4 linked regions of the Tamandua tetradactyla genome follow. The protein of the gene in region 1 purifies or fractionates together with the protein of each later gene. This does not show direct contact. Links are inferred from orthologs where the notes say so. Each region holds a gene or a part of one and is shown in the gene's direction. Other genes may lie near its edges.

Region 1 (7,204 bases):
GCCCTTCCAGCTGGAGGAGGAGGATGGGGAGGGGGCAGGGCCCGGCATCGGTGCCCTGCAGTGGTGAGCCCCACCCTGCGGCAGCCTGCTGGGCTAGACGGGGGGGAGGGGTCTCCAGGCCTCTCGTCTCCCTGTAGTCTGTCCAAGAGGAGACCTTGCCAAGGTGCTGGCCCTGCCTCGCTGCCCCCACTCTGCATTGTCCCACGCTGGGCACATGGCCATCGATCCGCCGGAGGAGCACACAGTCACCCGGCATTTGTGAAGTCCCTGTCATGGGGGTGCCAGAAGTGCCATTCTTTTTATGTTAATCGTCTCTCCCTGCCTTTTGCTTCCACTCCTCCTGGAGCTGGGAGACTTGGGGAGGGGAAAAAGTTAGATCTGGGTAGCTCTTAAGTCTTAGCCTCACTTTTGGGGTTTGGTTATATTTGTTAGATAAGGCCAAGATTTAGAGAATCAGTGGGAAAATACCTTCAGATCTCCCCCAGCATGTTGGGGCCTCCCTAAGTAGGTGGTCTCTCTGCACTCAGGATTCAGTCCCTAATCTTGCAACGACTTGTACATTGTTAGGGTTTTTTTTTTTTTACGTGTCTACTTGTAAATCTTATTAAATTGGGTTCTTGAGCAGCTGTCTTCTGACTTCCCTGGCCTGTTGATCCCACAAAGGCTTTTGCATCCCTGCCTCATTCCAGGGCCACAGAGATGAGTAAGATGGGTTCGTGTCCCAGAGGAGCTGGTAGCCTTGGGAGGCAGAGGGGAGGGAACAGGCAGATTAATTTGTACATTCATTAAGCGCCTACTGTAGCGTGGGCCAGACATTGCCCAGCCCAGGTATGGGGTTGTGGTGACTCAGGAGGAACAGGGCCCCCTTCTTCAGAGAGCTCACGTTCTAGGAGGGAGATAACAGTAACAGAGATGCGAACGAGGCGATTTAAGATCTCAAGGGTGGGTCTGCTTTTGGCCACAGCACCAAGACTGTCGTTGTAAGTGTGAGCAGTCAGGGTGTATGGCTCCCGTGGCTCTACCCACAAAGTCAAGACTGCAGCAGAGACAAGATTCAACTCCTCCCACAATAATATCCATATCGTTGGAGGTTCACAGATAAAGAACATATCCCTTCCTTCCTAGTTTCTCTTGTTAAGAAAGGAAAACTTGCATAAGCTCCCAGCAGCCTGCCTCTTGTGTCTCATCAGCCGGAACCATAGCCTGTGCTCATTTCTAAACTCCTCCCGGGCATATGGAGCAGAAATGATCACTGTTTCCTTGGACCACTCAAGGGTTGTCTCGGGGACCAAGGAAGACCAATGTATGCCCTCAAGTTTATTGCCACCTGAACAAAACTGGAAGTCTCTTAGCCAGGAGAAGAGAAGGACATGGAAATGGCTACTGGGCAGGCAGACCACAGTGTCCTCCCACCAAGTGACATGAAGGAGGTGAAGGAGGGGCCAAGTCCTAGGAGAGGACCAGAGTGCGGCAGGCAGTGTTAGTGGGACAGCTAGAGAAGGCCTCACTGAGGGGCCTGCTGAGTTGGGATCTGGATCCCAGGCTGCAGAAGGGCAGAGTGCACTCTCTGCGGCTAGAGACCAGAGGAGGTGTTAAGTAGGAAGTGACAACTGACAAACTGCCTGAAGAAATTTCTCTGACTGCTGTGGAAGATGGGTTGTAGGAGGCAAGAGTGGACATCGGGGGAGTAGATAGACGCCTCCAAGGTAAAAGATGCAATGTACCAGGTTGGGTGGTAGCAGTGATGAGGCAAAGAAACGTGTGGGTTAGGGGTGCATTTTGCAGGTGGACTGCACAGACTTGGAAATTGAAGAGGTAGTGAGGAAAAGGATAGGATCAAGGCTGGCCTGTGGGTTGGGGGCTTGAGCAGCCGAGCAGATGCAGAGCAACCACCGAGATGACAGGGCACATCACTGCTTGGCCAGGTCTCTAAGGGTGTGCCCTGTGTGTAAGGATCTGGCAGGGGGAACAGGGCAGACGGTGGTGCCAGGTTTCACAGAGGGCTGATATCTCAGCCGAGTTTTCAAGACTCGGAGGGAGGAGGAGTAGAGGAGGAATTAAGTTTGAAGCAGTCCAGGCTCAGGCATCAGAAGAACCAGAATATGCATCCTGTCTCCCCTTCTTTGTGACCTTACGCAGCTCACTTCCCCTGTCTAAGCCTCATTTTCTCACCTCTAAAGCGGATTGAAAAATGCCTATCCCCATGTATCCATTAAATGAGATTGAAAAATGCCTATCCCCATGTATCCATTAAATGATTAGGTATTTTGCAGGGTTCCCCATGTGAATTTTACAGCTAACTTTCGATGAGTTCTGATGGCATTACTATCATCGTTTGGACTCCATCCTAAATAATAAGTCAAACTTGCTCCTTGGACTTTGAAACAAAAGCCTAGCTTAAAGAGTCAGGGAGTATAGTAGTTATTTGTTGCTCCATAACAAAATACCCTCAAGCTCAACAGCTTAAAACAAGTGGAAGCTTTTAGAGTAGTGCCCCACTGACAGACACAGAACCAAAACTGTTTGTGGTGATGCAGACCCACCCCCACCTGATCTGTGGTCAGGATGCAACAGCAACCACAAATAGGTGGTCCAGGAAAATCTAAGAAGAAGAGTTGGGCAACGGTTTCTTGTGCCTCACCCAGCGTGTTCGGTGCCCTCCCGTCCACCACCCGATCACTGTTTTCTCAAACTGGTTTCCCAATGGTCTGCATCTGAGTCACATGGAGGGGAGGGGACTGTAAAAAAAATGCAGATTCCTGTGCCCTGACACAGACTTTGAGAATCAGAATCTTCGGATTTAGGGCCCTAGAACCAGGATTAGGAAAAAAACAAAACAAAACAATTTTAGATTTATAGAGAAAACTGAGAATAGGACAAAGTGTTCCCACATACCCCACAGCCAGTTTCTTCTTCTAACATCTTACACTGGTGTGGTATTTTTGTTGTTTAGATTTGTTAAAATTATTGAACCAATATTGATACATAATTATTAACTCAAGTCCATACTTCATTCAGATTTCCTTAGTTTCAATCTAATGCCCTTTTTCTGTTCCAGGATCCCACATCACATTTAATACTCACGTCTCTTTAGGCTCCTCTTGGGTGTGAGTTTCTCCAAATTTCCTTGTTTGTGATGATCTTAACAGTTTTGAATACTGATCAGGTATTTTATAGAACGTGCCTCAATTGGGATTTGTTGTTTTTCATGTGATTAGACTAGGGTTGAATGTTTTGGGAAAGAAGAACCATTACATCACATCTTATCAAAGATATATACTAGCAACATGACATCACTTTGTGTTAACCTTGGTCATCACCTAGCTGATGCAGTGCTTCATTTCTCAACTGTAAAGTTACTTGCTGTCCTGTCCCGCACCCCCCCCCCCGCGTTGATAATTGAAAAGGAAGTCACTTTGTGCAGCCCACACTTAAAGAGTTGGGACTTAGGCTCCTTCTCCTTTCAGTTGGTGCATGTGGCCCTTTGATAAACCCACATCGTGTTTGTGTGATTTGTTTTTAGCACTTCCTTACTTTCGGACACTACAAAATGCTCCGCCTACGTGTACTTTCCCTCCCCCTGGTTTCTTCTATGGGAGAATGATAGTAGGAACCAAGATCTGGAGACTGAATGGGCTGTGCTCAAACCTCAATTTTAACACGTTCTCCCAACTATTGCCCTTGCAAGCAGAGTTTAGAAACCTCTGCTCTCAAAGTTACCCAGGACTAAACCAGTTCCAGCATCAGTCGGCAGAGGGCGTAAGAAGAGGCAGAAAAGTTTATTTTCCACCACATACGCGAAGAAGGATGGCGCGAGGTAACACCACTGAGGCAATACTGAGCTCTGCGCAAGGGAACTGTCAAACTCGGGCGTAGGCGTGCGCCCCGGGCTGGGGGTGGGGGGGTAGGGTTGTCACGTGAGGCCCGGCGGTCAGCTGACTAGTGCCGTAGTTTCCCAGGCAGGGCGGACCCCAGGCGAGGGCTGCTGTTGCTGATTAGCGGAGGAGGCTCCAGAGAGGCCGCACTCTCGAGCAGGTCCTTGACGCTCTGATTGGCTTAGCTCGTGTCACGTGGTGGTGTCGTACGCGTGCGCCGAAGCTGTGGACGCCGACTGGTGGTTGCGAGTCACGGGTCTTCGTGCGCCGATTAACAGGGGCGGGGCCAGCGGGGCGAGCGTCGCGCTCCACGTCGCGCTGGTTGGTCGGCGCGGGTCACATGGCGCCGGGCAGCAGGCGATACGTGCCGGTGCGACGTCAACGCAGCCTGCTGAGCTCCGCCGATCCGCCTGGCGCGGCGGGTGCTGAGTTCTCCGAGGGCCGGGCCGGGCCGTTTGCTGAGTCCCTTCGCGGCTGCCATGGACAATTCGGGGAAGGAAGCGGAGGCGGTAGCGCTGCTGGCCGAGGCGGAGCGCAAGGTGAAGAACTCGCAGTCCTTCTTCTCCGGCCTCTTTGGGTAAGAACAGGGCCGAGGGGCTGGCGGGACCTCGGCAGAGAGAACGGGAGCGCGGCCTGAGGCGGCCGGGGAGGCACGGACGACTCGGGCCGAAGGGACGGAGGGAATTCGGGATAAGAGATAAGGCCCAAGGCAGCAGAGGGGACACAGGCTGAGAGCCAGGGGGCCCCGGGCCGTGCAGCGCGGTTTGAGGGGAGGCTGAGACAGCGGAGGGAATCTCGTACGAGGGGAGACAGGCCGAGGTGACACCATCTTGAGGCGACGAAGGGGATCCAGGCTGAAGACGGGCCAAGGGATGGGAGGAAACCTTGGGCCGAAAGTCTTTAGTCTGAGGCCTGGAAGGGGGCTCGGCCTGAAGGGATTGCGGAAGCCGGGAGGGCAGCAAGGTTGAGAAGCCTTTCGGAGCGCAGGGAGAGCCTACTTGCGGGATCCCAGGCGGACGCTATGGGGCTCCGGACTGAGATCACCTGCCCTAGGGGTTAACCTTCCCCAGGCCTCCGGTAGTGGATTTCCGGGGGCCAGGTGACAGGGTGAGGGCTGGTGGAATCTGATACCAGGCCGAGGGGATCGGGGCTAAGGTGGTTTGGAGGTGATGAGTTCAAGACTGAGGTGTGTGAGGATGCCTGGGGTGAGTATGCGCCTGGTTAGTGGTGACTAATCTAAAAAGTCTTATACTTAATGGGACCTGGGTGGAGGAGGCCCAGGGGTGATGGAGTTAAGTCTGAAGGCAGGGCGGGAGATCTGGGCCAAGGGGCTGGAGATCTCTAGGTGTGAAAGAGGTAAGGGGACTGAGAAAACCAAAAGGGGGCTGAGGACACGATGTTTGATCGTTGAATAAAGATTCAGAAGGAAGATCCCTCTGGCAAACTAGGAAAGGGGCCTTAAAGATGTTGGGGGACAACTCACACCAACAGCGTGGCAGACATTTCACATAAAATTCATGTTAGCTCAGACAAATAATGCTGATGATTCTCTTTTGAGGAATCTGAGTGGTTTAGGAGTGTCACAAAGTGTGGCTTTGCTACTTCATGATGTTGGGTAAATTGTTTAACTTCCCTGTTAAAGGGGAGTGTGGGGAAATCTATCTCATTGGTTTCCTTGGAGTGTTGAATAACAATATGTGTAAAGTGCTTAACTTGAGCTTAGCACGTGGTTAAAATTCCAGAAGTGCTAGCCAGCGTTATTAACATTTCTGTGCTTAAGATTTGGAACCTGGAGAGGACTGGAGGGGATGGAGGTAGGGGCCTGAGGGGAGAGGTCTGGGAGGAGTTGAGGGGATGCGGTCTGAGAATGAAGAAGCCTTTGTGTGACAGAGCAGAAAAAAGAGCTGAAATGGTGTGGAAAAAGGGCTCAGGTCCAGGGGTATCCAATAGGGTTAAGGGGAGGGGCTTGAGGCTCTGGGCAGAGGAAGTAGAAGGGAGGGGGAAGGCTGGGGGAAGGACCTGAAAAGGTGAGCAGAAGGCTGTCTGACCTGATAGGAGGCTTGCGAAAGGGACTGTGGGTTTGTAAAGAGTTGAGAAGAACTGAAGTGGGGTGCGGGGCACAGACTCAGGATCCAGAGAGAGGCAGAGACTGGGGATGGCTGTGGGATGGAAGAATCTTCCAGAAGTCTAGATAATGGGATTTGGAGGAGGCCCCGGAAATTGGAAGAGACTGAGTTAGGAACCCAGCAGAGATTGATAAGAAATGAAGGGAAGGTGAAAGGAGCCTCCATTGTTATTTAAGATTGAATAATATTTAGCAAAACTAATTTGAAAAAGTATCTGAGCAATGATGCCTAGTGCAAAGAAACATCCAGAGCTGATGGGATTGTAGGGGAGGAATTTTGATGTTAGAGACTGAGAAGAGAGAGAAGGTATGTATGTGCTGCTGCTTCTTTCCTCCCTGAAGCTCAAGTGCCGTGTTTGATGGTGGGGCCAAGAGCTCATTTTCAGGTAGTGAGTCATTTTCCTTGTGTGGCTCTGGGTGTCTGGTCCCTTCAGACTGAAATTCAGTGTACTGTTGGGTTATGCATGGTGGGAGCAGCTCAGTCAGGCCGGTCAGAGCCCTTGAGGCACATGCAGTCTGATTGGGAAAGCAAGACGAACGCTTGCCAAATCCAGTAAAGCAAGATTGTCCGATGTAATAGAGGGCTAAATTATGTTGTGCAAGTGAAGTTCCTGAAGTGGGAGGCAACGGCATGTCCTGGAGGAAGGCTCTTTGTGAGCAAGGCCCCAAGAAACCCTAGGATTTGCTAAAGGAATGGGGGCCTGGGAGGGTGTGGTAGGTTGCAGGAATAGTGTGGGGGGTGGGGGCAAGAAAAGTCTAATATGAGGGGAGGTTCTGTCTAGAATGATGGGAACTAGGGGACCAGGAAAGTCTTGTGAAGGAGTGGCTAGCCTGGCACCATCTTGGAGGATAAGTAGGGTTCTAGTGGGGGAACAGCACTCCAGGCAGAGGGAACAGCGTGAGCAATGGCTCAGAAGTGTGAAGGGCAGTGAATGAAGGTTTAGCTACAGAGAGTTCCATATTATTAGAATGTAAGGTTAGAGCAGGGAGGCTGGAGATAGGGAAGAGGGCAAGGCCCAGTCCCAGAGTGCTTTGTGAGAAAGAGCCTGGACTTGAGTTGCTGAAGAACACTGAGGAATTTAACAGGAGTAGGATGGCTCCTGTTCAGCTTTTGGAAAGATGAGTGCAGCAGCTGGGGGGAGGAGTGATGGGGGATGGAGGAGAGTAAAGGCAGGAGGCTGTGGCGGCTGTGACAGGTGGTAGC
Region 2 (6,940 bases), on another chromosome or scaffold:
GTGAATCCAGTTGTGGATGATGAATGTGGTTAATAGTACTGTTCTAGTTTGCTAGCTGCTGGAATGCAATATACCAGAAATGGAATGGCTTTTAAAAAGGGGAATTTAATGAGTTGCTAGTTTACAGTTCTAAGGCCGAGAAAATGTCCCGATTAAAACAAGTCTATAGAAATATCCAATCTAAGGCATCCAGGGAAAGATACCTTGGTTCAAGAAGGCCAGTGAAGTTCAGGGTTCCTCTCTCAAGTGAGAAGGCACATGGCGAACACAGTCAGGACTTCTGTCAGCTGGAAGGGCACATGGCGAACACAGCGTCATCTGCTGGCTTTCTCTCCTGGCTTCCTATTTCGTGAAGCTCCCCGGGAGGTGTCTTCCTTCTTCATCTCCAAAGGTCGCTGGCTGGTGGACTCTGTTTTGTAGTGTTGCTCTCTCTGAATCTCTCTGAATCTCTCATTCTCCAAAATGTTTCCTCTTTTTATAGGACTTCAGAAACTAATCAAGACCCACTCAAATGGGTGGAGACATGTCATACCCTAATCCAGTTTAACAACCATTCTTAACTAAATCACATCAACCAGGGAGATGATCTCATTACAGTTTCAAATGTACAGTATTGAATAGGGATTATTCTACCTTTAAGAAATGGGACTTATATTAAAACATGGCTTTTCTTAGGGGACATGCTTCCTTTCAAACCAGCACAAGTACAAATACAAGAATGTTCTTCCATGAATTAGAACAATACATGTCAAAACTGCAAGATGTTGGTAATAGGGTGGTACATGGGAAAAAAATTTACCTAATGCAAATTATAGTCTGTTAATAGTAGCATAATGTTCCTCCATCTATTGTGTAGCAAAGGTACGCACTGAAGCTGAGTGTCATTAATGGCGGAGGGGGGAGATAAGGGATATAGGGTTTTCTTTTGGGAACTATGAACTATGAAAATGTTCTCAAATTGATTGTGGTAATGTAAGTACAGCTCTGTGATTATACTGAGTGCTATTGATTGTACACTTTGGATGGACTATATGGTGTATGAATAAAACTGTATTAAAAAAAAGGCTAAAATATAATCCACAGAATGGGAGAAGATATTTGACAATAATCTGATAAAGGTCTTGTATCTAAAATACATGTAGAAGTTATACAAGTCAGTAATAAAAAGACCAATGAGCCAAGGATCTGAATAGACATTTCTCCCAAAAAGATACACAAATGGCCAAGAAGCACATGAAAAAAAAGCTCAGCATCATTAGCCACCAGGGAAGTGCAAATCACAATTGCAGTATGTACCACTCCACAATCACTAGGATGACTATAATCAGAAAGACAGGTAATAGCAAGTGTTGGTGAGAATGTGGAGCAATTTAAACCTTTATACATTGGTGAAAATATAAAATGACACAGCCACTTTGAAAAACTGGCAGTTCTTCAAAAGATTAAACTAAGCATAGAATTGCAATACAAGCCAGCAACTCCACTTCCAGGTATCTACCCAAGAGAAATGAAAATGTGTCTGTATCTATATGTCCACATAAAAACTTGTACATGAATGTGTATAGTAGCATTATTCCTAATGGCCAGAAAGTAAAAATAACCTGTGTCCATCAATAGGTGAATGAATAAATAAAAGAAATGTTGTCTGTCTATCTAATAGAATATTATTCAGTGGTAGAAAGGGACTAAGTACTCTTCTGTGCTACAAAGTGGATGAACCTTGCAAATATGGTAACAAAAGACCATGTATTTTAGGATTCCATTTATGTGAAATGTCCAGATTAGACAAATCTATAAAGGCATACAGTAGATGCAGAGATTCAGAGTCGCCTAGGATTAGGAAGTTGGGGATAAATGGGGAATGACTACTAATGGATACAGGTTTTCTTTTTGGGGTGATGAAAATATTCTAAAATTGATTGTGGTAGTTGTTTGGGGAGGGGGTCCCAAAGCACCCAGTAGAAAAATGGACCCATGGAACAAGGAAGGGAAATACAGAGCAGCCTAACCTCCCAGGTTTTCCAGGCCAGCTTGACACATTCCACCATGCACCACTGGAACCAGTACTTCCTGCCAGGACTGACACATAGGACAAAGCACATATTTCATTGTGGCCTTTTCTCTCCTACAAGAAATATATAGTGGCTTCTTGTTGCAACCTAAGCCAACTAAACCCGGCATCTGGGGCCCTCTCTCTGTGACCTTGGCTTTGTGTGAGGAGCTTTGAAATCAGTACTGTGAAGTGGCTCTCACCTCCACCTTGTGCTGGTCGAGTTACCTTGGACAAGTTATTTAATCTTTATCAACCACAGTTTACTCACCATTAAAACAAAGATAATGCTACTGACTTTAAGGGGAGTTTGTGAAAATTAAATTAGATGTCTATGTCAGATGCTTATCACTTGGCAGACGTGTAATAAATGTTAGGTTGTTCCTCTCTTCCCAGCCAGGAATCATCCGATCCAGAGTTGGCCTGGGGCCTCCCCTTCCTGTGGTAATCACCTTCCCCCACACTCTGGGTCCCTTGGCTCCAGGCACCCTGACCTTGCTTTGTGTTCTCTATACCAGTCATAGCCAGACATCCAGAGCCTATATTTCTGGGTTTTAAACCTTTTCAGGCAAGGGTAATAGTGATGAGTCCCTGTCACTTTTGCCTAGCCCTTGGCCTTTTACTGCTTTGTGTTGTTTTTTGTTGTTTTACCTTAAATCTGTCTTCTAAATTGCAAACTTGATTTGAACACTTTATATCTTTATTTTCACTTTCTTTGGATCTTCCCAGTGCTTAGTTTAATGCTGGTCATGGATTAGGCTCTGAGGGAGCTGACTTGGCAGCTGACCACCAACTACTGCAGTAGCCTCTGCGCACTCAGTGGAGCAAGCAGGGTCATTGAAGCTCTAGGAGTGCAGTCCCCTAGTCAAGGTGCAGTCCTTTTTTCTGCCTTCCAAACCCTGAGAAGGTAGGGTGGATTGAAGAAGGAAAGAACCTCATCTTGTCTCCTTCCAGTAGCAGTATCCCAGCTTGGCTTCTGATCCTAAGACGCTGTTTCTAGAAGAGGGGGGCCCTCCTTTCTCCTTTCTCTGTTGGGAAGTGTACTGAGCATTTATTGAACGTTCTTTCTCTTCCAGCAGATGGCTCTGCTATCTCAGATTTGACCTTTCCCATTACGAGAACCCCTAGTCCCGTGTTCCCGAGCTCCCTACTTTAACGATCCTTGAACTGGATATACCGTTTTCTTAAAAAATCCTCCTCTTTCCTTGAGCAGAGGAAAGAAATGTGTGTGTGTTGTGTATGTGGATTAAGTTAGATTTAATGAAATTTCTGGGGATAACCTGAATTCTGTGTTCATCTAACAAATGTTGAAGTGCCTGATCTATGCCAGGAATTGTCCTAAATGTTGGAGAAAGAAAGCTAAGCATCATGCAGCTCATCTTATATTTGCTTTTAATTTCATCAAGGAGAAATTATCTGAACAATTAAAATTCTACCCAGAAACCAGACTTAGTAAACCTGTCTTGGAGAGCTGCTCAAGGAAGTTTTTAAAAGAGAATGTGCAGCTTGAACGTTATTTTAATTGTTTAACATGTTTAACATGACTGTCTAATGACCAGTTTTTTTCTCTAGACATGAGAATTTTGCTGCTTGATTTTGACCCTGTTCAGTTAATCAAGTTTATAATCTCCCAGATTGATAATTTGGAAGATGTAAACCAGTAACATTAAAAATACAATTTGACTTTTCTTTTTATGTTATTTAGGTCATTGCTTAGAGAAACTTCTGTACGGCCCCCCAGCATCTGATGAAATTAGTGAATAAGCCAGTCAACCATGTCTTACACTCCGGGAATTGGTGGGGACCCTGCCCAGCTGGCCCAGCGCATCTCTTCCAACATCCAGAAGATCACACAGTGCTGTGAGTTGATTTTTAAATGACTTCCTTGTTTGTTTTTAATTTTTAACTGAAATTGGTGAAGGTTCATAAATAGGCAAGTGTAGTGCTGAGGGAGGGAGCAGCACACCATTGGCAAGAAAGGAGACCAAGAGGCTTACTTCAATGGATGAAGCAGGTATACTGTGCTAGGAAAGATAAGCTGTATTTAGTAAGAGGATGTCTTGAGTTGAGAGTCATCTTCTCTGGAATGACAGTACTCAGGCTACAGAAGCACCAAGTAAAGATTGAGGGGTTGCAGATTGTGTATGAACTTGAGCTGGAAAGAAGGAAGGGTTAGCTGAAACCAGGCTGCACTCCCTGAGAAAGTGATCAGTTGGTCCAACTAGATGAGAAGTGATAAGTTGGGGTAGAGTTGAATATTCATGGCATGTTGTGACAGCTTGTATGAGATGACATCACAATCTGGGGCAGCTTTGGTGTGTGGGAAGATGAAGATTCACCACTGTCCTGCATGAAGCGCTGTAGAGCAGGCTGGGAGCACTCTGCCAACAGGAGCTTCGATCACTGCCTTCTGATATCTGTGTACTGTCATTTGTGAAACAGAACTGTGTCCTGCATGGACTTAAAGGCCTCCACAGTTGAACAGAAGCTGCAGAGAAGGAAGTGTTTTTTAATCTTCCCAGTTGTTGGGGGTGGAATTACCTGGCTCAGGAGAGGTGAGATTTCTGTTACTAAAGTGACTAATATTATAGAATAGCCAGGTAATTCTTAGGTCTGTAATTAAGAATTTTAAATATTGGCATTATGGTTCAGAATAAATGTCCTTAATTTTGAGACTCTATTTTATCCATTCAACAAGCATTTTATTGAGCACCTCCTATTTGCTGAGCAGTACCCCACACATTGGGAGTACAGTAGTAAACAAGTTCCACAAGGCCCTGCTCTCATTTTATGTACAGTAAAGTGAGGAGAAACAGATAGTAAACAATTAATGAACAGCACAGTTTCCTTAGAAGAAAATGAAGTGGAGATAATGTGGAAGTGAGTGAGTGGGGGAACTGCCTGCGCTTAGTTGGGCCCCTGAATGAGGGTGAGAAAGGCTGGTGGTGAGAAGACAAAGAGAAAGGGCATTTCTGATGGAGTAAATAACTAGTATTAAAAACATTAAAACAGAACAAAGCTGGGGCGTTCAGAGACAGAAAGGCCAGTGTGGCCAGAGAACAAACCAGAGGGGCCGGAGATGGCAAGAGAGGAGCCTGGGGCCCATTATTGTGGGAGTGTGGGGAGTTTGTGCTTGATTTTTTGAGGCAATGGAAATCTAGCAGCAGGTTTTAACTAGGGCAGGGAGGAGAGTTTTGTTTTATCTGAATAAATTTTGAAATGCCTTTTAGACATCTAAGTCAGATATCTAGCTTAGATATGTGAATTTGCATTCAGGTGTCATCAGAGTATTAATGGTATTGAAAACCACAAGTCTAAGATAATCACAAGAGCAGGAGTGTTAAAGATGGTAGAATTCAAAGAGTCAGAAGGAAGCCAGCAAAATGAATCTGAGAAGATGTGACCAGTAAGGTAGGAAGAAAATCAGGGATTTCTGGGAATCAAAAAGTGAGGGTGTTTCAAAAGTAGGTGAGGCATCATCTGGGTCTTGCTGCTGAGAGGCAAAGGTAGAAGCAGAGAGTTAGATTTGGAAAATTGAGATCACTGGTGACTTTGAAAAGAGTGGTCTCAGAGCCATGTTCCAAGAGATTTCTCAGAATTCCACCCACCTCTGCTTCTGCTCTTGGCCGGATCCAGTCACATAGGAACACCTAGCTGCAAAGAGGCCTGAAAATATCTTATAGCTGGATTGCAATGTGCTCACTAAAGTGAGGATTTGCTTCATTTGAGTGAAAAGGGAAGAATCAGCATTTCTTAGGCAACTAGCAGATTCTACCTAGGAGGTGGAAGGAGGGTCAGAGAAAGGATTGTATTTTCTACCACGAAAGGGAAATACTATAATGTTTGTGTTTAGTGAAAATGACCCAAAAGAAAGGGAGAAGTTAGGAAAACAAAAAAAAAGTGAGCGTTTCATTGTGAAAGGAATGTCATTGAAGGTGAGAAGGGGCAAGGAATAATGGAAAACAAATGAGTGGTTCACCTTTCATCCCTCTACAGAGGTGAGGCAGAGGATGGGGGGCAAGAGTTTTTGTGCCAACAGGTCCAGTTTAGTCATTGGACAGAGAATGAGAGGGAGGGACATTGAAAGTTTACAGGAGAGGAGAAAGTGGAGAAGTCAAATCACGTGTAGATTTGATTATTGAGAGAGCTAACAGATCGAGGAAGCAGAGAAGGTTCTTGGCAGGTTGTGTATTCATTTAAGATTTAGTATTGTGAATTTAGTGAAGCCAGTCAGCACTGGGTATTTTTTCTGATTCTGAGACAGTGTCTAGATGAATGGAAGGTTAGCTATAGATAAAGTTATTGTTAAAACTATCACCCACCATTCCAGCGTGCATCACTGGTAAGTGATTTGCAGAACTCAGGTGGAAGTGAAAGGCAGATACAAAATTTCAGTTCATTTTTTCTCCCCTTTAGTGATGCTAATAATAGTGGATATGATTGAATGAAATGACACTTTGCACCGCATTTGGTTCTTCTCTTCACACTACATTTGCGTTTTTAAAATTTGTGTACAAATTAGTAGATTTTACAAAAGAAATCTTGGCATGATACTGTAATATCATACCCTTAGAGTTAGAATATGTGCATCTCTTCACCTAAAGCTAAAGTCTTGCTGAGTAATGCAAAAGTCTTGCTGAGTAATGCATTGGGCAAGTGTTATTTTCTTACTAGATTTCATTAAGATAAGTGAAAACTTGTAATACGTTGAATTGTATTACTTTATACGAAAAAGAAACTAGCAATCAGAAAGAATTTTGATTCTTGGAAAAGTCCAAGAATAACAATATTTAAAGTTGAAATTTTGTTTTCTTTTACTAGTATTATATATTGAACGTTCTTTGTTTGCAAAGAAAAAGGTAAATAAAACAAGGTTATTTTTAAACTTAA
Region 3 (6,857 bases), on another chromosome or scaffold:
GTCTTTCAGACTGGAGATTGTGGTGATGTGGCTTGTCTGGACATGCATTACAATGCGCATTTTGCATTTTATGCCACACATGACTGAATGCATGTTTTTTTTTTTAACTTTTCCTTTCTTTAGTTGTTTTTGAAGCTGGTTTTACTTACACTAGCCACAAAATAGTTTTAAATGCAGATAGACCAGAAAAGAAATGCTTTTTCCTACTCTAAGCACCCATGACCAATGCAAACAGCAGGATTTCAGCTGTGTGACACTGTATACGGCCAAGGTCCTGTAATACGCACCTTATAGACTTATTTGAACAAGCTGACACAGGTGTCAGACAGGCACTGATATTACACTTACATCCATCCATACAAAGAGGATTATAAAGACTAAACGATGGCGGCCACGGTGGCTCAGCAAGCAGAGTTCTTGCCTGCCATGCCAGAGACCCGGATTCATTTCCCGGTGCCTGCCCATGCAAAAAAAAAAGAAAAAGACTAAATGGTACACACTGTATATCAGACAAAGTGGTATGATCAGAGGAGGTCTAGGAAGAGGTCTAAAAACACTATACTTTCTGTGGGATACAGATTGGATCCTGTGAAGCAACTAGAAGATATGTTATCTCTGGGTTGTTTTTCTGTCATATCCCCTATCCCAGACAGAGAACAGATTTAATCCTGAGCCCTGTGCATTAAGCCCCCCTCTTTCCCTTCTAGTGACTGTCATGTGGCCTGGGTCTCTGCTCAGGCTCGTAATGAGACGATAGCAAGACGGCTGTGGGATGTCAGCTGTGACCTGCTCAGCATTCCAGTGGATTGACAGGTGGTGGCCGCCAGACCCAAAAGAAGACTGCAGGAGTCTGCTTACCACTCCCTACCAAACTGACTCTCCTTCAGGGCAGCCAGAAAGGAGCAAAATCTTCCAGCCTTGCCTGCTTGGTATTCAGTAAAAGGCCAGTACACTGCCAGATTCATCTAAATGCCTTTCATTTGTCCAGATCTATTTTATTCCTGTTACTGCCAGAATTACTAGAATATAGAATATGAAAACCCTCATATGACTTGCACAGATCATATTTTCTCCCCAAAACCTAATGCATAGGAGGAGCCAAGCTATGGTAGGGTTGATTTATGGGAATTTGGACTAGTTACTTTCCTCTTTATTCACCATGTATTTCCTGCCACCCAACCTTCTTGACTTTAAGAGGACCACACTTGCAGCCTCATCTAAACTCCAGGAATCACAGTGACTTGGCTCAAGAGCAGAGTTCCTCTTTCACTTCTTTAAGAAAACCCTCACAGCACCAATATCTGGATTCTTTCAGAAAACTCTTAACTGACTCTGGACTATGGCTCTGCCTTATCTTTGACAAGCCAGAGTCACTTTGTTAAGACACTTTCAGGTCTAGACTATAGAAGAGCTTCCTTTTGTAAGTAGTCTGTGGGGTTTGGTTTTAACTGTGGGAGGGAGGCAGAAATAAACATCAAGTTCAGAGTGTCATTTTCCTGCTGTTTCTCAGATCAGCAAGCAGGGGGCATGAAGAGAGCAGTATGATGGCCACCTGACTTCAGTTACTGACCCAGTACTCAGCAAGGCTTCCTTTTTTTGTGCCCTTAGCTTCTCAGAAAACCAGAAGAAGGGAAAGGCTGTTTGTCATTGGGCTTATCTTTGTGTGTTTTCTTGTGTATCTCTTCAGTTGGGAATATTTTCAGAAAATTCAAAACAGCCACAAAGGAGGAGTATTAAACTGGACCTCCATGCAGGGTCCACATCAGAGATGGAGCAGACCAGTGTCAGTGTCATTCCGTCTTTGATGCACATGGGTAGAGCTGCTAACGGATGCAGACTCTGCATTTGTTGATAACTTCCCACCAAGAAGCTATCCATATGGATAGCAGAGAAGTCCAAAAAAGGGAAGAATCCTGGGAGATATAAAGCATGCAATGAAGGAACTAGTTGAGGATTTATAAAAAAGACACAAAACGTCTAAAGACAGGAAAAGCTATAGCAGAATTGAGGGTAAGCACTGAATCACCTAGACTGATGAGACCCTTATTGGTTAACAAGAACCAATCGACCAAGGTGGCGGGCAAAAAAAAAAAAAAAAAATCCCAATTCTTTACTCAGAATAATTATCCTAAGGACTGACTTTCAGTAATTACATTCAATTTAATAACCTTTCAAGGCATTTCTTTATATTATCTTGACAATGCTAAAATGTCTATTTGGTAAAAATCTGTATTTTATTTGGAGGACTTTTAATAAAAGTAATGCAAAAAAATAAAAATAAATAAAGGGCAGTGCAATGGTGGCTCTAATGCTGCCAGAGGAAATCAGAGAAATTGGTAATGTTTCATCACTTGTTTACAGTACATTATTCTATCAGAGTCTGAGATTTTCTTGAACTGGCAATTTATATGTTTAACTTTGGTAGGGAAAACAGTAATAGGACCACAGTCTCCACTTCTCATAATTGTAAATTAATAATCTTTTGTTGAGATTGTTTTGACCATTGAAGTGTATATTTAGAAATGGTCATATTATGGAAAATAGGAAATCTTTTGTTTTGATGATAATGCAGTAGAATAGCTGAATTAATACTTTATTACTTGATTTAAATTGAATGTCAGTGACAAATAAAAGTCTTTTTGATTATGTTTTTACTTACCAATTTAAAAAGTATAAGAATTCAACAAAGGTTTAATTATATGGTCAAAAGAAGAAAATACTTTTCATTATTACAGTTATTCATTAATTCCTCATTCTAAAGAATGATTTTCCCTGTCTAGCTGCAGTCCAGTTTCAGTTCAAATGACATTAATTTGGGTTTTGTGATAATTTGATTATTCATTCACCTAATTCCTACTTATCTTCTATGACACTGTTCAGATACCACCTTTTCCCATGTTTCTTGTTTATTCCAGGCTATCTCTCCTTTTTATATCTGCTCCTTTACTTCCATAACACAGTCCTATGGGACTTATATCAGTTCACTGCCACTAACCCCAGACTTTGTTATTTCTGTATTCTCAGTGTCTGTTAGTAACTCAACAAGGGCTTGTTGACTCAACTGTCAGCGAACTCAATCTGACAAAAATAAAGGTCTAAGAGATAGAAAGCACTAAAAAGAATATTCATATACTTTTTCATATGTGTAGGCAGTTTAAATATTGGGCTTCCAAGCAAACATTTCAGTTTAGACAAATGGTGAGGTCAGTGAAAATAGGAATTTTCTTCCATTAACCATTACACTAAGTATTTACACCCATGGCGTGCAGGAAATGACTAAATTGTTAACACATTGCATCCAGTGGTAGGTAGCCAGGTCTGCCTTCTCTACCTGATTATAAATTACCCCGGGACAGAGAGTAAAATTGTTTTATTCACCATCATATCCACATCCCGGCACAATGCCTATAACAAGCCCCTGTAGAGTGAATGAATGCAATGCACGAGGCAACCTCATGCATTACGCGAGCCGGACTGCTAGAGGCTAAGAGTGTGAACTTTGGGGTCACACTGCCTGGCTTCCACTTCTGAAAGCGTGTGACCCGTGGCCACCTGACCTACCCAGTATAAGCGCTTTACCCGCCCATGGGCAAGTAGGAACCCGGCCCGACTACCTTTCGAAAACGGAAAGTTAAGGTATGAGTCAAGACATGCACTGAGGGGGTCAAGGCATATCTTGATACCAAACCACTGCACGTCAGCGGCGACCCCGAGCAGCCGCGGTGCTGACGGAACCACCCACTCCGCGGAACGCGTGACTCCCGTCATCCGCGCCGAACTACAACTCCCGGCCTGCACTGCAGCGCGCGCCCTTCGCCAAGCCCGCGGGGCCTCGGAGGGAGGCGGCCGTGCTGCCGGGTCTGCGGCTTCCTTCCCATCTTTCCGCTTTGGCGCCCCAGCCAATCCCAGGCCGGGTATTTCCGGGCCCGGAGGACCGCAGCTCACCCCAGCGCGGCGCCGCTCCTCCATCAACCCTTCGGCTGCGCATCTGGCCTGATTTTCTGTCAGGCGTTCGCACTCGACGCTTCCGGGGCGACGCGAGAGAAAGAGAGAGAGAGAGAGAAAGGGAGAGAGAGAAAAGGGGCGGGAGAAATGGGCGTTCCAGCCTGAAAGGACCCCGCTGCCGGCCCCGGAAGCGCCTCGCCTAGGCGGTGGCGGGGGTCGTCGTGATGCTGGCCGGCCAAGGCGGCTGACTGCCGGGCTAGGAGCAGATTCCCGAGGCCAGAATCTCGGCGGCCACAGCCGAAGTGCGGCCTGCGCCATGGCCACCTCCGCGGTCTCCTCGGAGCATTTCGAGAAGTTGCATGAAATCTTCCGCGGCCTACTTGAAGATTTACGAGGAGTGCCGGAGCGGCTGCTGGGGACAGCGGGGACCGGTGAGGCGAGGGCTGGCCGGGATGTGGGAAACTGGGCTCCTCGCGCTCTGGGAAGAAGAGCCCCGACCCTCCTCCCAGACCCAGGCTTTTCTCTCCCTGTTCCTCATCTTCAGACGCGCCACAGGGCTGGCTAGGTTCCGTAGCCAGGATCTCCCCGCCGCCACTTCGACTGGGCTGAAGACTCAGGGAGGGACCTCGGGGTGTCGTCTCCCAGGGATCTTCCCTTTTGATCTTCTCGTGGCCCTCTCAAAATTTTCTTGTCTCATTTTTTCGTCATGGCAGAAAGAGCACAAGGGTTCTTAAATCTTTTGTAGACTTATGTAATTTATTTTGTGCATTTAAAAGCATCGCAAACTGGTGTTTAAATGTCAAGAGACATTGGGTTGAAAACTCAAAAAGGAATCATTACTTTGAGATTCAAAAATTTGTTAAGAGTTGGTAAACACTAGCGTGGTAGGGGAGATTTTAAAATCAGGATTGTGGTCTTGAGGTGAGGTCCTGTTGTGAAGTTTCTTGCTGCTTCCTGCCTCTTGAGTTCAAGCTTCAGGTTGTTGCAAGCTCTGCCTAGAGCTACGTTTTTTCATTTAAATCTGTAGGAAATCCTGTCATAGCTTCTTGGCTCTTGCTGAATAGATCTGTATGGCAACGAGAACAAGACTTTGAGTTTGCTCTCTGAATTACCAAGGACATGTGAATTGAGTGACTAGTGAGAATGAAATTCATATATATTTTTTTAAACAAATATTAGAAGACTGCTATGTGCCAGGCACTGTCCTAGATACAGTATCACAGTGAAAAAGACATGCAAATCTCCATTCCAGAGGGCGGATGACAAACAATATTTAAGTATTAAGAGGAGTTGTTAAGGGCTATACAGAAAAATAAAGCCCTGTAAAGAAGTAGAGTGAGGGAGGCACCAGTTTTAAATAGGGTGGCTGGAAAAGGTCTTTCTGAGGAGGGGGGTATTTGAACAGAGACTTGAATGAAGTGAGGGAGTAAATCATGCATGAATCTGGTAGTAGGGTTAGGAGGAGGGACTAGCACTGCAAAGGCCCGTAAGTAGAAATGGGTTTGGTATGTTCAAGGAAGAGCAGTAGGGCCAGTGCATTCCATGTGGAGTTGGCAGAAGGAAGAGTGGTGGTAGATGAAACTGGAGAGAGATGGCCCAGACCATATGGGGTCTTGTAGACCATGATAAAAGATTTGCATCGTCTTCTAAATGGGATTCATTTAAAGGATATTCAGCAGTAGAGACCAGGATCTGATTTATATGGTTGAAAAAAAGACTGCGGTTTCAGCCTGGCACTGAATTAAGTTCTGCGACATCCATTTCTTTAATGCTAAATAATACAAAAGGGTATTCCATTTTGAAAAATAGAAACCTGAGTTATATTCATCTTTGTCATCTACTTAACATTCTTCCCATTCTTGCAAAGAATCTAGTGAAAAGATGTGCAGTGGTGCTCAAGCCCAAAGTACGCTGACATAAATTGCATGTAATGGGCTTAATTAATTAATGGCTAATGTATACTATATATACATTCTCAGGGCTATAATAAAACTTAATCTCATTTTTCACTGTCTTGTCTGTACTTGTCTTTCAATAAATGCTGAATAAATCGAATTTAATTAAGCAAACACTCTGGGCCTCTTTTCCAAATCCTTCTTTCCTGATTCTGAGACCACTTCATAAACTTTTCAGAGATTTAATTCTCACTGTGAGTTGGTAGATACTGTGTAATGTCTATAACTCAGCCCTTGCATTTAGCTTATGATCTGTAGCTGAATTCAGTTATTTTTCAGTTAACATTTATTGAGAATTACATGCGGCAGTCACTTTCCTGGGCCCTGAGAACTCCTAAGAGTTCTTGCCTTAAAGGGAAGCAAATTTACAACAACGTGTATGATGCATCCTAAAATAAAGTTCTCTAAGACCATTAAAAACAACTACCTTAAGCATGGGAGAGGGAGGGCAAAGTTTTACACTTGGAGTTGAGTCTAAGGGAAGGAGTAGGTGTTTGCTAGACAGAGGGGAAATGGGAAAAGGCAACAAAAGAATTAAAAATTGGATACTTCCAACTATAAGTGGCTTCAGGTGTGTGGGGGAGAGTAGTAGGAGATGGGGAAAGTGAGGTAAAGCCACATTGTCAGGAGTCCTAAGTGTCACATTAAGATCCTGGGACATGATATGGAGAATCAGTAAAGGATTTTAAGCAGGTGATACGGAGTGAGGGAGAAAAATTCAAGGGTGTCTGTGTTATCTCACTTGGCCAATAGAATGAATGATGAACTTAAAAAAGAAATAGGAGAAACAGACTTGTTGGGGCTGTGGTAACTCAAGGCTGGGTGTAGAATAGAGATCATAATGTATCCCTTTCAACCTGACAAGATATTTCTTCTCCTGCCATTTAAAATAATACTTATGAAAAACATATTATATCCCCCTATTCTATATTATTGACAGCACTTTCCAACATGAGA
Region 4 (7,298 bases), on another chromosome or scaffold:
CTGGAGTGACAATGACAAGGAGGAGTCATCTGACCCAGTAAGGACCCCTGCCCTGATGGTTGAGGAAAGTGGGGCCGGGGGTAGGGGCCTGATGAGGGCTTTAGTGAGGGAGAGTGTTGAGGTCTGTAGGACTGATTCTCATTTCTCCTTTTCAGCTCCTGGAACTGACGGTTGGCTCCGGGGTGTGCAGGATGCGCCAAAACCCAGAATACCTCCACATGGTTGCCACAGGTGGGAAGGAGAATGCGTTGAAGGTGTGGGACCTGCAGGGTTCTGAGGAACCTGTGTTCAGGGCCAAGAACGTGAGTAACAGGGCTGGCTCTGAGGTCCAGAGAGGCTGAGGCCACTGACCTTGAGTGAGAGATCAGATGGGCTTTAGGGGTAATGAAGGAGGGCTGAATGTGGGGGCCACACTTGGCCCTCACAGCCCCACCCCCCATAAACTCCTCCTACCAGGTGCGAAACGATTGGCTTGATCTTCGTGTTCCCATCTGGGACCAGGACATACTGTTCCTTCCTGGGTCGCAGAAGCTTGCCACCTGTACAGGGTACCACCAGGTGAGGCACCACCCCACCCATTCTCCTGGGCCTAAGTAGCTTCCTGGAGAAATGGCTTAGCTATACAGGCTCAGTCCCCCCGGTTTGGCACGGGAGCATCTCCCTTAAACTTTCCAGCCCTACTACTGAACAAGTGACCTTCCCTTATTGCATTCTGATGTGGAATTTTCTGAACTAGGGCTCTTCCTTCCCTCCTGCTTGGAAGAGTGGAGAGCTGAAAGGAATGTTCCCTTCATACTTGGATCCGCAGGGTGCAGGTGTCATGAGAGGATCTTGGGCTGGGTGCCAATGGAACTGAGTTTCAGTCCTGATGCTGCCTCTGATTTGCTTTGGGAGTCAAGCCTGACCCTTGCCTCTAGCCCTAGGTCCCCACTTGTACAGAAAGGGCTGTACTAGGAAACTTTATGACTCGTCTCATTTGAAGTCCTGCTTTTTTGCCTTGTCTCCTTCATTCCCACACATTGAAGTCAGATCTTTGCGGTGATATGCTCTGCTCAAAACACGTATGAAGGATGCACAGGTGGTTGAGTGGTACAATGCTTGCCTGCCATGTGGGAGACCTGGGTTCGATTCCCGGCCCATGCACCCAAGAACAAAACAACAAAAACACACACGAAGCTTTCATCTCTCTTTCCTTACTCAAGCTAAACTTCTCTGCCTGAAATTCAAGACTTGTGACAATTGAACCATCTGATCCACCCCCACCCCCCCACATACATACACACTCTCTCAATTAGGGGATGCGTGGCAGAATACTCACACTTGCAGACCATTGGAATGCTGCTATACACACACACACCCACCACAACCTGGGAGACCTGTCCCCTCAACCTTGTCCATGCACATTCCTAAGCAAACCCACCCCCGCTCCTCCTACACTCGGATTTCCTGTTTGATGGGCAGACTAAGGGAATACAGACTGTGAGAATGTTCCCAGGATGCCCCCTGCCCATCCACTGGGGAGTTTCTGGACTTAGTCCTATCTTCTGTGTTCTTGTACCCCTCCCCCATTACCCTTCTGGCTGCTCTGATCACATCTAGTTCTGCCCTCCCTGTAGATGTTCTGAGAGCATGAGGCCAGGATACCTGGTGACTTTGGACAAGTCACCGCCCTGTCTGTGAGGAGCTCGAACTAGAAGAGCCTAGGTCCTTTCTGGAATATGGGAGGGCAGAGACTGCATCACCATGTTTCCAGCACTGCCTAGCAGAGTGCTGGTCTGAGAACAGGTTAGGAACATATGTGTACCTTTGAGAGCCTCAGTTTGCTCAGTCTCATCTTCACAGGTTTGTCTGGCCATCACATGGGGAAGTTGTTCTGAGAGTGTGTCATAAACATGAAGGCAGTGCTTAAAGGGGGGCTGGGGTGAGGATGTGGAGAGGGCTGATGGTTGTGCAGGGTGAAGGTTTCATGAGTGATGCTGCAGTCTTCCTCCAGATCCGTGTCTATGATCCAGCCTGCCCTCAGCGGCGGCCAGTCCTGGAGGCCACCTATGGAGAATATCCGCTGACAGCGATGACCCTTACTCCTGGGAACAAGTGAGTGAGTGTGAGAGAAGAGATGGGTGGCTCAGGAAGGACTGCAGGCAGTTCCTGCTGACACCACCTGTCTCTGGTCTCCTCAGCTCAGTGATTGTGGGAAATACTCATGGGCAGCTGGCGGAAATTGACCTTCGGCAAGGTGAGTCAACCAGGGGGTCCTTGGGAAAGGGGGTTAGCATGGGGAAGAAGGGCACGATTCCCGCTGAAGCAGTGAAGTGGAGTAGTTGTGAGCCCTCGTTCAGGTGCCAGATTGCCTGGGTTCAAACCCTGGTTTCACCAAAAGCTGAAAGACCCCAAGCAGAATGTTTCAGTGCTGCACCTTTGTTTCCTGCCCATGGAGACATGAATGGTAACTCTCATCTCAGCATTATGTTGAGGATGTAATGTTGACATGTAAAGTGACGAGAGCATTCAACACCCACCAAGTGGTGTTGACCCGCCAGCAAGCACTGATGCTTCCCCTCTTCCAGGGCGCCTGCTGGGCTGTCTGAAAGGACTGGCAGGCAGTGTCCGAGGCTTGCAGTGCCACCCTTCAAAGCCCCTCCTAGCCTCCTGTAGCCTGGACCGAGTCTTGAGGGTACACAGAATCCAGAACCCACGGGGCCTAGAACATAAGGTGAGAGCCATCCCACTGGACCTCATCCCCTACACACATACCCACCCTGCCTGACCCTGGAGCCCCCAACTTCCTATGCTTTCCATTCCTGTGTCCAGCACTTCAGCATGTTAGGTTCTTTAAGGTCTCTCATCTTTTGCAGGTTTATCTCAAGTCTCGGCTGAACTGCCTCCTCCTTTCAGGCAGGGACAACTGGGAGGTGAGCAGCTGGGTCAGGGAATGTGGGATTCAAGGGCTTCGATGTGAGGTTTTCTCCATGGAGAGATAAAGGTGGCAGCTGGATTGCAGACCGCCAAGTTAAAAGTTAGATAGTCCTGACACGGTTATTACTAAAGGTGCCATTCCTAAGAGCAGGGATGGGAATGACATCCTAGAGCAGGAAAGAAAGCTGGGATTATTTCCCAGCTAGGACCTCCTTGTGGGTCTCTGTAAGCTTTCCCCCCATTCACCAGGATGAGCCCCAAGAGCCTCAAGAGTCCAACAAGGTGGCCCCAGAAGACCTAGAGACAGATGAACTTTGGGCTTCCTTGGAAGCCGCTGCTAAGCGGAAGCTCCCGGATGTGGGGCAGAGCCAAGGGGCCCCCCAAACCAGACGGAGAAAGAAGAAGCGGCCTGGGTCTACCAGCCCCTGAAGATGGGGTACCCATTTTGTAAATAAACACCTCAATCCCCACCATGACCTGGAGCCTTTTGTGATGGGGGAAATGAGGGGATGAATGGCTTGGGCTGGGGACTCCTGGAGCCGGGGCGGCAGGACCGCTGACGTCACAAAAGCCGGGCAAGGGCCAAAGACCTGCGGGTGGGCGGGTTGGGGGGGTGGTACGGAGTGCCGGCCACGCGGGGCCATGGGCTGCTGCCAAGACAAGGACTTTCAGACTTCCAGTGATCAGGCCAGGAACGGCGACTCCATGGAAGGCGGGACAGGTGGGCCCGGAGACGCAGGAAGGGAGCCCGGGGAGCGGGGCAGGGGGCAGCCGCCTTGGGATCACTAAGGGAGTGGGACCGGTGAGGGCAGAGCGCAGCTCAGAGGCATCGTCGTCTCCACAGGCTTCGAAGGGAGCGATACGGACTCCCCGCGCCACCGGAAGCGCAAGTCGAACGAAAGCCTTCTGATCACCGTGCTGTGGCGGCGGCTGTCCCTGTTCAGCCGTCGGGGCTCGGCACGGTCGAATAAGAGGCAGTCAGTCCTCAGTCAAAGGCACGAGATTCCGAACCTGGGGATCAACCAGGAGGTGATCCAGGAGGAGCCGGAGAAGGGGTAACCCCATTCCTACTCTCAATCCGTCCCATCCTCCAGAGAATAAAATTTCGAACGTGGACCTTCGCGAGCGTTTGTGCCTCTGCTGCGGGCTCTGGGAACACCGCGCGGGCACCAGCCGGGCTGCGGGTTCTTTAAGGCTCTTCCCCGGAGGCTAGCCCAGCCCCCCCCCCCCCCGGGGGCTCCGGCACCCGCGCCTCAGGGGCGGGGTCACGGTGTCGGCCTGGCCAATCGGAAGGCGACGGCGCACGGGCGCTTGGTTGGGGGGCGTGCCTCCCAGGTCGCCCAGCCCCCAAAAGGCGTGGCGCCGCGTTCTCGTCACCGGGGGCGGGGTTACGCGCGGGTGACGTGGCGGCTTCTAGCTCCGGTCGGGTTTCGGCGGCTTCGGCCCCCACGGAGGTGGCGGTGACGGCCTGGGAGATTGTGGCAGTGGCGGCGGCGGCAGGCGGCAGAAAGGAGGTAGGATTTCTCTCTAAGAGAGGATCTGGCTGCCGGGGCAGCTCCGGGTCCGAGGGCGGCGACGGGCGGGGGCGGGGGGAGGGGAACCCGGGGGCCGAGAACCCGGGGGCCAGCGGCTAGGTCCTGCCGACCCGGCTGGGGCTGAGCGAATACCTGGTGGTCCAATCAGAAAAGCACCTATCGAGACAGACGTCGGCATTAGCAAATCAGTGGTTGCAGCCTTCCAGAAGGCGGAACCCAGCGAGGGGTGGGTGGGACTTCCTGTTTCAAATAAACACCTAGAGGTTTTCCCCCTTCGTCCACCGAAGTGTGTCCCCTTCTGAGGGCTGGTCGCCGTTTTTCTGTGAGGAGTCAAGGAGCCTAGGACAGGAGAGGTCCCGGTTAGGGCCTGGCACACCTCTGCGGGCTGGGCTGGAGCCTCAGAGCCTGGGGACCTGCCTCTTGGCCCTGTCTCTGTCTCTGCTTCAGGGCCCCCAGCCCCACGCTCTGGTCGCCAGAGTCGAGTTGAAAGAGTCTGAGGAGGGGACAGCTTGGGCCGGGTGGGAAGTGGGGCCCTTGCCTCTGCGAGCCGGCCCCAGGATCTACGAGTGGCCTTGTGGTTTAAAATGCTTGCCAGGTTCAGAAGGAGCCGGAGGATTTGTTGGTTGGGGGTGGGGGGTGGGGGTCATTTATGGAAGAGGTGGCTCCCTGGAGAATGACTCCTTTCCCTCCACAGCAGTCCGAGGTTATGCGTCTCAATGATCCCCCGGAAACGCTACGGGTCTAAGAACACGGATCAGGGTGTCTACCTGGGTCTCTCAAAGACACAGATCTTGTCTCCTGCAACTGCTGGAAGTAGCAGCAGCGACATCACCCCTCTGCCCCCCCCAGTGGCCCTGATCCCTCCCCTTTCTGACACCATGTCCTGCCGGGACCGGACCCAGGAGTTCTTGTCTGCCTGCAAGTCCCTTCAAAGCCATCAGGTAAGAACCTGGAGTGGAAAAGATCAGGGGTAAGCCTTATTTCTGAATGGGGCTGTGCTCCAACACTATTAACTAAAGTCATTCTTGTGGGAAGCTGATGGACAGCTCCTAATAAGGCTTGGATGGAACAGTAGGGTCTGCTAAGAAACAGAGGTTAGCAGGCGGGGGCTTAGACTTTTTTGAGAAGAACCTCCCTGATGATAGGGTTGCTATTATGGGGGGAATACCTCAGGGCCAGAGGTGCCTGCAATATACTTGGTTTGGCCAAAGAACAGATTCTAGACGGAACTTTTAGCTAGCAGTCATATACCTTGAACTCAAGTTCTGGCCTAGTTCTGCCACAGTTTTCCTTTGTGACTATGGGAAAGTTAATTAATCTAGTTGGGCCTCAATTTTTCTAAAATTGAGTGTCTAAAATTGAGTGTCTAAAATGAGGGAAGCTTTCTTAATCACTTTAGAGTGCTTGAAAAAACATTGTCTCAGTCCGGCTCTGAATCTCGGTGGGACTTGGGTGACCATTTTTAAATATTTTCTGTGTCCAGCTCTGGCTAACAACTGCTCTCCTATGTGATTTCCAGGGGCTTTCTAGTTGTGATACTCTTTGAGTCCCTGATTTGAGGAATAGAATGGCAATACTTGCTACCATTTACTTAGTACCTTACAGTGAGTGAGTTACATATTTGACTTAAGAGCTTTACAGCACTTTCTGTAGCAGCAAAAGAAGGTAGAAGGATTGTCTTCGCTACATAAAAGAGAAAGTAGAAACTCAGAATGTTAAAGTAACATGACCAAAGTCCTTCATCTAGTAAGTACTAGAACCCCAGTCTATGTGTCTTCAAATCGGGGTTCTGTACTACTGCTGATAAATCTGGATTGGCCAGCCGGGGACCTGAGCTCTACTAAGAGAGTTTAGTGGACAACCTGAGGAACACTGAAAGCTGGAAGTGGGGGAAGGGGAGCTAAGGTTGTCACCTCCTGACATTGCTTTTCAGAATGGAATCCAGACAAATAAACCGGCTCTGCGTGCTGTCCGGCAGCGAAGTGAATTCACACTCATGGCCAAGTGAGTTGAGAAACCATCTGCTGGGGTGATGTGTCTGAGGAAAAGTGGGTTTGTCTTTGGTGGCCTTGTCTGTGAGGGTTGGGGTTAGTTGCGCTGGAGCTAATATGGAGTTAGGCCCTCTCCTACCCATTTCCGCAGTGTTTTCACTAATGCTTGTTTGTAGGCGCATTGGGAAAGATCTCAGCAACACATTTGCCAAGCTGGAGAAGCTGACAATCTGTGAGTGTTTTTCTTGGGGTCTTTCCAAGGTGGGGCAGTGAACCAAAGAGGGCTCAGGAACTTTACTCCCTGAGCCCTGTCTTTGACCTGTTGTTCCTTCTCATTGTCTCTGCAGTGGCAAAGCGCAAGTCTCTCTTTGATGATAAAGCAGTGGAAATCGAGGAGCTAACATATATCATCAAACAGGTGAACTTCTATCCATCAGGAGAGCCCAGCAATCCAGTTAAACCACTTTCATCATTATCCATTGCATAGAAGCTCAGAGTACATTTCTAGAGCTACCTCCACGCGTCTACTGACACTGTAGACACTTATTGATTACCTGTTATGTATGAAGCACTGTGCGGGACTGTTGACACAACATGAGGCAGGACTCCTGCTGTCAAGGGCTTATTGTCTCGAAGAAGTTACCAGCCCCGTAAATATACTATGAGTATATTTATGAGTAGGAGGCAAGTGGTACAGAAAAGATCTTACGAAAAGTTGAATACTACAGCTGGGAAAGATTTCAGAAAGGAAATGAAATGTGAGTAGTTTTCAAGTCTTGTAAGAAAAATGGAAGGACAATCCAGTCAGAGGAAGCAGCATGTGCAGAGGTATAGATTGAAAAGGGAAAGTTCAAGA

What was found.
Region 2: the proteins of NAPA (region 1) and STX7 purify together in Homo sapiens (affinity purification with mass spectrometry; 4 studies listed by BioGRID and IntAct, counting the BioPlex papers as one, with this or other methods). This does not show direct contact. The link is inferred for Tamandua tetradactyla from reciprocal best matches to the Homo sapiens genes NAPA and STX7.
Region 3: the proteins of NAPA (region 1) and VTI1B purify together in Homo sapiens (affinity purification with mass spectrometry; 3 studies listed by BioGRID and IntAct, counting the BioPlex papers as one, with this or other methods). This does not show direct contact. The link is inferred for Tamandua tetradactyla from reciprocal best matches to the Homo sapiens genes NAPA and VTI1B.
Region 4: the proteins of NAPA (region 1) and STX5 purify together in Homo sapiens (affinity purification with mass spectrometry; 3 studies listed by BioGRID and IntAct, with this or other methods). This does not show direct contact. The link is inferred for Tamandua tetradactyla from reciprocal best matches to the Homo sapiens genes NAPA and STX5.

The regions. Positions count from the first base shown.
Region 1 is NC_135342.1:13,632,105-13,639,308, forward strand, and holds the start of NAPA (alpha-soluble NSF attachment protein), read left to right. Parts: upstream 1-4,197; 5' UTR 4,198-4,354; coding exon 4,355-4,452; intron 4,453-7,204. Other genes in the region: ZNF541 (zinc finger protein 541), read left to right, coding at 1-67. UniProt on the Homo sapiens protein: Required for vesicular transport between the endoplasmic reticulum and the Golgi apparatus. Together with GNA12 promotes CDH5 localization to plasma membrane.
Region 2 is NC_135351.1:32,621,728-32,628,667, reverse strand, and holds the start of STX7 (syntaxin-7), read left to right. Parts: upstream 1-3,925; 5' UTR 3,926-4,505; coding exon 4,506-4,605; intron 4,606-6,940. UniProt on the Homo sapiens protein: May be involved in protein trafficking from the plasma membrane to the early endosome (EE) as well as in homotypic fusion of endocytic organelles. Mediates the endocytic trafficking from early endosomes to late endosomes and lysosomes.
Region 3 is NC_135338.1:25,310,006-25,316,862, reverse strand, and holds the start of VTI1B (vesicle transport through interaction with t-SNAREs homolog 1B), read left to right. Parts: upstream 1-3,836; 5' UTR 3,837-4,261; coding exon 4,262-4,376; intron 4,377-6,857. Other genes in the region: RDH11 (retinol dehydrogenase 11), read left to right, coding at 708-810. UniProt on the Homo sapiens protein: V-SNARE that mediates vesicle transport pathways through interactions with t-SNAREs on the target membrane. These interactions are proposed to mediate aspects of the specificity of vesicle trafficking and to promote fusion of the lipid bilayers.
Region 4 is NC_135335.1:11,753,386-11,760,683, forward strand, and holds the start of STX5 (syntaxin-5), read left to right. Parts: upstream 1-4,280; 5' UTR 4,281-4,430; intron 4,431-4,686; exon of another isoform or gene 4,687-4,810; intron 4,811-5,145; 5' UTR 5,146-5,167; coding exon 5,168-5,392; intron 5,393-6,384; coding exon 6,385-6,455; intron 6,456-6,618; coding exon 6,619-6,674; intron 6,675-6,789; coding exon 6,790-6,860; intron 6,861-7,298. Other genes in the region: WDR74 (WD repeat-containing protein 74), read left to right, coding at 1-37, 156-302, 457-558, 1,994-2,094, 2,181-2,236, 2,568-2,713, 2,856-2,912, 3,166-3,345; TEX54 (testis-expressed protein 54), read left to right, coding at 3,559-3,637, 3,761-3,975. UniProt on the Homo sapiens protein: Mediates endoplasmic reticulum to Golgi transport.